3 linked regions of the Kluyveromyces lactis genome follow. The protein of the gene in region 3 purifies or fractionates together with the protein of the main gene of each other region. This does not show direct contact. Links are inferred from orthologs where the notes say so. Each region holds a gene or a part of one and is shown on either strand. Other genes may lie near its edges. The genes, in order: ARP9, RSC9 and NPL6.

What was found.
Region 1: the proteins of NPL6 (region 3) and ARP9 purify together in Saccharomyces cerevisiae (affinity purification with mass spectrometry; 7 studies listed by BioGRID, with this or other methods). This does not show direct contact. The link is inferred for Kluyveromyces lactis from reciprocal best matches to the Saccharomyces cerevisiae genes NPL6 and ARP9.
Region 2: the proteins of NPL6 (region 3) and RSC9 purify together in Saccharomyces cerevisiae (affinity purification with mass spectrometry; 6 studies listed by BioGRID). This does not show direct contact. The link is inferred for Kluyveromyces lactis from reciprocal best matches to the Saccharomyces cerevisiae genes NPL6 and RSC9.

The regions. Positions count from the first base shown.
Region 1 is NC_006039.1:1,062,529-1,066,150, reverse strand, and holds ARP9 (Arp9p), read left to right. Parts: upstream 1-1,580; coding exon 1,581-1,610; intron 1,611-1,723; coding exon 1,724-3,058; downstream 3,059-3,622. Other genes in the region: formin-binding protein HOF1, read left to right, coding at 1-558; centromeric DNA-binding histone H3-like protein CSE4, read right to left, coding at 753-1,307; serine/threonine protein kinase PKH1, read right to left, coding at 3,207-3,622.
Region 2 is NC_006040.1:880,897-884,379, forward strand, and holds RSC9 (Rsc9p), read left to right. Parts: upstream 1-1,252; coding exon 1,253-2,947; downstream 2,948-3,483. Other genes in the region: double-strand break repair enhancer MSC1, read right to left, coding at 1-10; RPM2 (ribonuclease P), read right to left, coding at 3,281-3,483.
Region 3 is NC_006042.1:1,271,860-1,274,991, reverse strand, and holds NPL6 (Npl6p), read left to right. Parts: upstream 1-1,232; coding exon 1,233-2,495; downstream 2,496-3,132. Other genes in the region: AIP1 (Aip1p), read left to right, coding at 1-882; m-AAA protease subunit YTA12, read left to right, coding at 2,914-3,132. UniProt on the Saccharomyces cerevisiae protein: Component of the chromatin structure remodeling complex (RSC), which is involved in transcription regulation and nucleosome positioning. RSC is responsible for the transfer of a histone octamer from a nucleosome core particle to naked DNA.

The sequences.
Region 1 (3,622 bases), on a different chromosome or scaffold from region 3:
AGTGTCGATGACTCTCAAAGGTTTGCTAAATCTTGGAATTCACGCAATAGAAGAAAATCTAGACCTTCATCAATGTATTCGCCCACAATGGATACGGATACTTCTGACAACGACAATAACAACTCTCTGAAGCCACCAACTGCAAATCGTAGAAAATCCATCGCATCGGATGTCGAAACAGCATTAGAAATCTTGGAAATGAATGATCGTCCGATGACATCAAGAACGAGCTCTGGTGCTTCTAGCAACTTAACTGTGAGCAGAACAGTGTTGCCTTTCAGCAACTCTTTGAATATAATGCGTTGTAAACGTGTGACTATTGATGGTGAACAATTGAATCTACCCATCGTTGATTCCATGAAAAATCCAGTCGTAAAATATGTCAAAGCGATGTATTCGTACACTGAACCCAATGAAAATAACATACTACTTTTCAATTCTGGTGATATCCTGCTGTTAGTCGAATGCATAAATGATGACTGGTATGTGGGTGAGGTATATCAAGGTAACAAACAGCATGGTCTGGTACCAATGAATTACGTGAAAGTAATAAATTGATGTACATCACTTTCACCTTGGACGCTTTCCTTTCTGACCATTTTCACCCGTTAAATAATGAATTTGTAACCATATGTAACCAATATAAAGTTCTATACTTATATATAATTTCTGCTCTTCCAATAGACATCAAACTATTAGCAAATTGAAGCTGAGCAGATAAATCTGTACTTTAAATGATAGGAAGGATTGCTTCAAATAAATTGACCTCGTATCCTTCTAGCTAGTTGCATGTCCTTTCTCATAATTGTAATTCTTTTAGCATGAAGTGCCAATAGATTTGTATGCTCTAATAAACCGACTAAGTAGGCTTCACTTGCTTCTTGAAGAGCCATAATTGCCATGGATTGCCATCGAAGAGGTTCGCTCTCGGTAGTGAATTGATCTGTTACCTCTTTCACTAGCCTCGCAAAGGGCATTCTGGATATAAGCAAATCTGTGGATCTTTGATATTTCCTTATTTCTGCCAAAGCTAGGTCAGTAGGTTTATATCTAGTTCCCCGAGCCTTTGTTATTCTTTCATGTGCGCTGATATGATGCTCTGGAGGGTGAATCTGCTGGCTGCTAGCAGAACGCTCGGGCTGGATGTATCTTGCTTTGTCTTCACTTCTATTTAACAACAAACGTCTTCTTCTGTTTCTCTGTAATAATTGTAGTGCTCTCTGATTGATCGATTCACGATCTATAAGTGAAGCGCCAACATTGCTCAAAGATCTAGAACCGTCTATGCTCCTGATAGACTGTTCCATTATGTATCAATCTCTTTTCCGTATGGTCTTTTGCGTGTCATAGAACTAATTTCAATGTTTCGCGTGTCATATTCATCATTGAGTAGGCTAATGTTAGCTAGATAACTGTTTTCATTATTTGAAAAATTCAAAAAGTAATAGAAGATAAACAAGTTTATACTTTGAATTAGCTACTTGGATAGGAAAAGTCTCGTCATTGACCTAGCAACTGTAACTCGTATTGTTACGATAAATCGAGCACTTTGTTGTATTGTTAGAAACCATTTAGCAAAAATGGCACCATTAAGACAAGACAGTTACTTCGTATGTGCGGTATCCAGATTGTTCATTATTCCGAAAACATTAGTTATTTAAACTACTAAGATAACTTTACTAACCGATCCACTCACATTACTACATGTGGTACTTTTGTCCAGATAATATATCCAGGATCCAATAGGACTTTGGTTCAATTTGGTATTGGAGAAGATACTTTGCAGCCGCCTTCGATTTCTATTCCAACAAAAGTTTACAGAGATGCAAATGGTAACTTTACATCCTCTGTTACTGATGTTGTTATCTGTCCCATTGTGAAGGGAAGCATTGTCGATATTGATGCGTTCCAATATTTTCTAAAGTTGATCTATAAATCTGTGTTAAAACAGGAGAGTGACGATAGTCCAATCGCTTGGGATACAGCTCTTTCTAATATTCCATTTTTGTTAATTTCGCATTACTCTTGGACTCAATTCCAACAAGAACTACTTTGCAGAACAGCTTTTGAAGCAATGAAATTGAAGCATTTTGTTATATTACCTAGCTCGTTAGCTAATTCATTTGCCTATGGCTCTTTGCAAAATTGTTTGATCATCGATATTGGCAAGTTTCACACCGATGTTGTACCAATTATGGACTATACACCCTTAACCTGCTTCATAAGACAGATTACTTCCGGTGGAAACTCGATAAATAAGAATCTACAGAGAGCTTTACCAAATCTCACCGAGTCCCAAATTGAGGATTTAAAAAGGTCGGATATATACGAAATTTTGTCCCAAGATATCATGGATCAATACGCTATCGACAACGAAGATGACGAAGAAGGTACTTTAGATGTGGCTACAATTGTTACTAGTGGGCGTGATACTCGAGAAATTCTAGAAGAGCGCGAACGAAACAAAAACAAAGAAAAACTGGACAACAGCAAATTAGAGACAAATGACTTCTTTGATACTGATGGTAATCGTATTACTGTAAGCAGGCAGAGATTCACAGGCTATGAAGATCTGTTGAAGGATGTCTCGAAAGCTGTAGGACAAGCAATGAGCCAGATTGATGACATAACCAAGCTTAAAGCAATGTGGGAAAATGTCATTATTGTTGGAGGGACATCACATATAAAAGGGTTCAGGGAAGCTCTTCTATCACAGCTGCTAAAAGACCATATAGTTAGTGAACCAGAAGAGGAACTGTATAAAAGAGAGGTGGATGCTGCGGCTAAATTAGATTCTAAACAGAAGAAAATTGGGAAGGTTTCCACTGCTCCAATCTTAAATCAGATTGAATATGTGCAGCCACCAACTACCATCATGACACCAAAGTTCCCTGAATATTTCTCGGAATGGAAGAAGATTGGTTTCGCTGATATTACCTTCTTAGGCGCCCAGATCTTAACAAAGCAAGTGTTTGGGCATTCTAACAATTCATTCTATGTCACAAGGGAGAAGTATGACGAACTAGGCCCAGAGGCCATCTGGGAGGTTTCTTTCTAAATAATTCTAGTACTTTTTCAATATATAAACGTATACAGATATCCATTGTAATTTCAATCAGCAAATGCAGTTCAGAGTACCGTACATTTAGAAAGTGCCCATCAAACTTCTCTAGAGCATTGAGCTATGACTCTTACTAGAATTTTGATCATTTGTTTGTTCTAAAGATTTGCTCGCTCCGGGAAAGCATTCTAGATCCACTTGATATTGGTCTTGTACCCAGCTTCCCGTTATTGTTTTGTTTTTGTCTCTGTGAGGTAAAACTGGACCTTCTTTTAGTGAGGAAAGGAGTTTTTGTAGTTTTATACCCATTAAGTTGTGTTTCGGCTTCCTGCTCAGCTAGTAATGCCGCTTTGTTAGCAATGGGATTGATTGATGTTTCATTATTAGTGAATCTTTCATTTTTGCTTTTAATCGCTGAAGTTAGGGAATGCAACCATACCAGGGTATCTGATTCGTCCGTTTGAAATACAAATGTTTTGAATGGCGTCTGTACAACGAAGATATCTTTCGAACTTGTCTTCTTCTCTGGTACAACCTCCTTTATGCGAACACCTAACTGTG
Region 2 (3,483 bases), on a different chromosome or scaffold from region 3:
TAAGCTTCATCCTGCGTATTAATATTGTTATTCTGTGTAATAAGCTATGTCAATAAATCTTATTAATAACAGACACTTTAAATGATATCCTATACAAATATACCTAAGCCTAAAAATGCCAGTTGTTAAGCAAGAGAAAGTGTTCCACGTTTGTTGATATATATATATATATATATATATATATAGAATGGGAATTGCCAGAACAAACTTCTAGTTGACAGTGACAATGCATCACACTAAGTTGTAAAAATCGATGGCCACACTTAGTTCCAAATAATAGCTCTACACACTTATAATAAGGGGTAGGGTGACATGGATATACTCACGCATGGTCTAGCCAAGCTCACAATAGCGTCAGTTATGATGTTCGCTAACCCGTTACCTTTTTCCCTTATTTTTTGGATTCTAAAGACGTCTTTTTGCTAATGTTAAAGAAATGACTTTTGCGGTTTGCTAATGGCAGCAAGAAACGATGCAAAAGGACGACTGTGTCTTAAAATTGCAGATGGCAATGCCACCATTTGTATTGTGCCTTAAGGTAAAAATTCTTCCGGACGCCGTGATGTGTGGAATTTGCTTTGATGTATGTATGAGTAAGTAATCAGATCAGATCACTGAGAGTGATAACTCTGGGGGAGTTAGGGTCTAGGAAACTAATTAGGTAATTAGAATGTGTTTGAATCAGGGCAGAAATGGAAAAGAAGGAAGAGAATCAATGGGTCGTTTGAGTCGATTTGATGTTGAGATTACACTGAATCATCGGTTGATGATCCGTTCCTTAGCGTGGAATTACCACTTTTCGGTCACATGATCAACGTCAATTGCCAGGGAGGTGAATTTAAACTCGTTGTTCCCATAACCATTTGAAAAGGACTTAGGCTGTCACAGAGGGGATAGTCAGTGTTCATAAAGAGGATAAACCTAACTGTCAGAACTATGATTAGAATCACTAAGCAACAGCATATAGTCTTTAATCTGTCCTTGTTACTATGTACGGAGAGCATTTATGTAATCATTTACCCGGATATAAGCCGTATTATTGAACTCGAAATTCAACAACATGCAAAACAACGAAAGATTCGAGATGGACTTCTTAATATGTACAATGACAGAAAAGGAAAACGCGACTAATTAGATGGAGCTTACTTTCTTTGTACCTATATCGGCGATCTAGATACCTTAAACACACCTTCTTTCGGAGACTCGCTTTTTTCTAGTTTTGTGTGATACCTAGTGCTTCACAAATCAATAGATGTCCAGCCATTCAGTCACTCCGGTGATCAATGCTGAAGGAGAAACAGCGATTCCAAGCTTGAAGACATTGCCCGCAACACAATTAAATATTAGCAGAGACCAGACCAATGGTATTACCGCTAAGCCTGTTGCTGGGTTGCAACAATCATTAGGCAGTTTGCCTATCTTCAATCATTTGCCTGTAAACTCTAAGATTGGTGTTGATGATCTCACCCGTATGAAGATGGCATTGTTAAGTGGAATAGACGAAGAAGTTAAATTTGCATTGAAAAGATATTTACGGTATAGCATTAACGCTTCTTATGTTATCAAATTGAATGAGAATTTGGATTTGTTGCCCATTATTATGCCCTTGATTACAGCATGCAGAGAATACATTCCACAGCTTGTTGGCCCAATTTCCAATCAGGCTTTTGAAGCCCTACAAAAAGGTTCAATTACAATGCTTCTTTTGAGAAATTTGGCACAGGACTCGGAAAACACTTCGATATTAGCCACCGATATGGAATTGAAATCGTTCATATTGTTCGTGTTGGAGTGGGCAAATACGTTCAATTCGAAGGATTCGGCAATCTATCAGTCACATACATCCAGTTTCAACGAATTGTTAATCTATACTCTTGATTTAATGGAGGCGATTTCATCTTATATTGCACCAGCAAAAAAAGACGATCTATATTTCCAAAACCTCTGTTTGATATTTCGTGATACAAAGGATAGATACTGCGTGATCTCAATTTTGAGATCATTATCTAGACTCTTGGTGAGATCTAAATCGGACCAAAAGAGTGCAGCAGATAATTTGGATGATAGTTTGTTGAACAAGATTGTTCATAACCTTTTAATTGATAGGGATGAAGAGTTAATAATTGCTTCATTAGATTTCCTTTATCAATATATATTACCTGGTCATCAGAGAATAAAGACATTACTATCACATAAGGAAAGATATGATATCCTAGTTAGTACTCTCCCTGTTCTCCTCACGTATCATGTATCAACCCCTGATTATCATGCCCTTTCGAATACTAATATCAAACTTATACAGAGGGTAAAACCTCAACCACCAGCACACGCGCCTGAATTGCCAATGCCACTGCTCAAGGAATTATTTGAGCTAAACGAACCAATGCGTGCCACTTCCTGGTTGAGATGCTGCTTTGAGAGATCTCTGAATGGCGAAGTAACACAGATTCTTCTATGGAAAACTTATGAACAAACATTCAGCGAACAAGTAAAACTAACAGATCGAAAATTGATAACTGCCGTTGATTTCATTAAAAATGTTTCGAATGCTTTGCCCGGTGCATCCGCTTTGGTAGTTGTAGATGAAGCAACGTCGAAGAAAAAATTTGTAATAAGAGGTATACAGCCTCGCAGAAAAGCTCTTTCAATCGTAGAGGCAAATAAAGATATTGACCAGTCCTCGCCTATACAGACTGAAACCCCGGATGAATTTGAAAGCAACAATACTCCATCGGAAGCAGTTCAAATTTGTTTGCCAGATATTGTTTTCCCCGAGAATCTTTCTGATGTATCTAAAGCAAGTGCGTCATTCCTTTCACTTGTTTCTAACGATAGTACCGAGATCGTGGCACAATTTATTCATGATATGAAACCTTTGATATTACATCAAATTGCTGACGTGCCACCTTTAAATACTGTTCTTTTGGACTTCATACATTCAGGTTGAACTTACCGTTAGGCCGATAGAGTAATTAAAGTTGTAGTTTTGTAATAATTAAATGTATAACGTATCGATTAAAGGTAAAAATTAAACAACGGGAGACCTAACTAATGTATAAAATTGAATTAAAAATGGTGAAACAAAATAAAAAATAGATGATAGCAATTCTGACAATATCAGAATTTTGTATCGAATGGATCAGCGTAAACCCATTTTTGTCATAATAATCGTAAAACTCATCAAATAATAAATAAATAAAACTTTCTTCATGAGACAGATTGTTCATGGAAAGTATGATAGAAGTATAGTAAGAATAAGGTAACATCAGCAGAAAGTTGTTTAGTGCATGGAAGAATCTATAATATCTTTGAAACTCTCCACTTTAGAATGATGATCAGATAAGCCTTCAGATTTGTAAATGGCAGAAATGGAATCTAAAAGTACCATTAGCGAGGTCTTGCTAACGTTAAAAGAACCATTATCATTGAAGTTTATAACCTTTACAGCGTTGTTCAAACATACTGATTCGACGATGTTGTTGA
Region 3 (3,132 bases):
CATACCATCAAATTCATTCATGGTCACAACAAGGGGATTACTTCTTTGGCGGTAAACCCATTAGTGTCTGGGTCATACGATGGTAGAGTTGTTACCTGGAATTCAGAAGGTGACGAAGTCAATGCTATTAGCCATGATATTCATGGTAATCTCGTATTGGCCATCGATAACTCTGATAACGAGGTATCGAGTGTTTCTTGGGACGAAACGTTGAAGAATTTCATCGATGGTGAAAAAGCGCTTGCTGAAACGAAGTACCAATTCTCAGAGCAACCTAAATGTGCGGTTTTCTCTCATAACACTTTGGCTGTTGCTACAAACACTAACGAATTGTTGATCATCGATAACAAGAGTGGGCTATTATCGAAATCGATAACTCTAGATAAACCTGTCGGGGCCCTCGCATTGGGAACTACTTTCGTGGCAGTGGCATACGAACAAACCAACTCCGTGCAGCTATTCAAAATTTCTGACCTATCAGATGCATTCACGTTGGCCACTCCATTACGTGCCACTCCATCTGCTCTTTCCTTCTCTCCATCACAAAAGTACTTGGCTGCCGGTGACGTGTCCGGTAAGATTATCCTATATGATCTTGACACGAAGGACGTCAAGACCTCGAGATGGTCATTCCACACAAGCAGAATTACATCCATTGACTGGAGACCTTCTGCAAATGATGATGATTTGGAGGAAGATTATGTTGTCACTGGCTCTCTGGACACCAACATCTTCATCTACTCTGTTAACAAACCTATGAAAGTGATAAAAAGATTAAACGCACAAAAGGACGGTGTGTCCAGTGTACTATGGGAAAACGATTCCACTATCGTCAGCGCCGGTGTGGACGCCTGTATCAAGAGGTGGACCGTCGAGTTTTGAATGAGACACATTTTTTACCAGTAACACATAAAAGTATTTAACAGTTAGTTAACGTACGAAATATAAGACAATGAATAACAATAGGAGGATCAGATGTTGCATCAAGGCCCCCCCCCCCAGAAATATCTAGAGCTTCTAGTAAAGCCGTTGAAGTTGTTCTTTCTTCTTTATCATCTCATACGTTTTGATGTTTCTCTTGAACATTGAACAGATTCCTGCCTCTCAAAGCTTATATATAAACAAACAAGATCAACAAAGCTCGGTTGAAAGCGGATATACGCATAACATTCCTTAGTAATTCTGTATTTGGAATCACCAATCAAGAAGCTTGAGTTTCTCCTATATCAGATATGGCAGCAGCAGGAAGAGGCAGGAAGAGCTCGAGGGTTTCTCGCTCAGCTAACAAAGCAACCAGCTATAAAATCGATACAGACGAGTTAGACATTGAAGATGATGAAAAGGATCAAGAGTACCCTGGACCAGCCAATGATGATGATTACGATGATGACCCAGATGCTGATATCGAAAACGAGGGTAAACCATCTCGTTCCAAGCGCAAGGCCGCTTCGAGCACACCTGTTCCAGTGGTACTAGCGACAAGAGGAAGGCCTTCAAAGAGGAAAAGAGAAGAAGATTTGAACGATCCCTTAAGACAGAAACTACCGTACCCAGTGGACGAAAACGGGTCTCCATACCCAATTGTGAATGACGAGTATTCATTACCTGAGGATCCAGAGGGTGAAACCAAGATCACCAAGAATGGTGATCTTCTAGAGGGAAGACAATTTGTAGTCAGAACTTTCACGGTACCTTCCAGAGGTGAAGTTAAATACATGCTTTCTACTGAGCCAGCCCGTGCCGTTGGGTTCAGAGACTCATACTTGTTCTTCCAGTACCATCCAAACCTATACAAATTGATTATCTCGCAATCAGAGAGAGACGATCTCATCAAAAATGGTGTATTGCCCTATTCGTACAGAAACAGAATCATTGCGCTAGTTACTGCAAGGAGTGTGTTCCGAGAATTCGGAGCCAAGGTTGTTGTAGATGGTAAAAACATCACGGATGATTATTACGCCGGTAAGCTTCGTGCATCCGGGAAGGTGAAAGAGGGTACCCCAGCAAGAGAAACATCACACACAAGTGTCACTGGAAGAAATACCCTTGGAATAGACATTCCGCAACAATTATCCGTCAACCCATCCAAAAATGCAGTAGAATTCTTTGACAAGAGAAATCACAACATCCCGGCAACAAGCAATATCTCATCTACGAACTGGCTCTATCATCATGCTGCTGCATGCAGTAGATTCAACAGTGATCTTTTCTACGATAGAGAACGCATTCTTCTCATCGAAAACCTCGGACTAAGAGATACGTACACGAACGTCTTACATATACCACAATCCACACAATCGACGAGAGTGATATCAGTGAAGAAAGTGAAAGGAAACACAAGCCAAGTTATGTACGAAACAAGAATCAAAGCTCTTGACCTAGCAAGACCTTGCACCGGTCTTTCTGACGTCCCTACATCGATGTACGAAGACATCTTGGACGAAGATATAGTCGCTGCTATAGAAGAACAAAAGAGATTCGAAACAAGCCTATAACATAGCTGAACTGACCTCCCATGTATACGTGTATATCTCAACATACGTAATAAGAGTGTATTATACTAAGTGGCCGGGTAACGATATGTCCTTGCTCTACCAAAAATGAATTTGGGCTTTTCAACCAGAACAACCCCATAAGGTGAACAGACAAGGCCATTTGCCACCGATAAAAGGAGCGTTAGCAGTTACATTTGCAATCTACAGTGGTTGCATTGTGAATTTAAGACCCTATAGTAGTGTAAAATAGCCAGGTGTTTGTTGAAACGGCTGTTTTTGTCTCGGTTTGTTTCGGTGTTAACAAAGATTTTCCACTGGTTTTAAATTCGAAAAGTCCTGTTAGGTAAACGGTATAGCAATCAGACTCGGCTAACCGTAGCAGCGACGTGGTGGTTTTATTACATTGAAGTGACTTGCAATGTTCCATTTAATAAGGCCGGTATCTAGGCTTGGCGTAAAGTCTGTGGCCAGTAGGGCGTTGTACAAAGTTCCAAAGGGGCGTTCGCTGATATTGTTACGAAACGACGTATGCCGTACGTTCCATTCCGGTAAGCTCAACTTGATGCAGAATCGGTTTGAAAAGGAGCCTACGGATGAAGACGTTGATAAAGTCAGGAAAGAAGTTAGAAAGTTTATC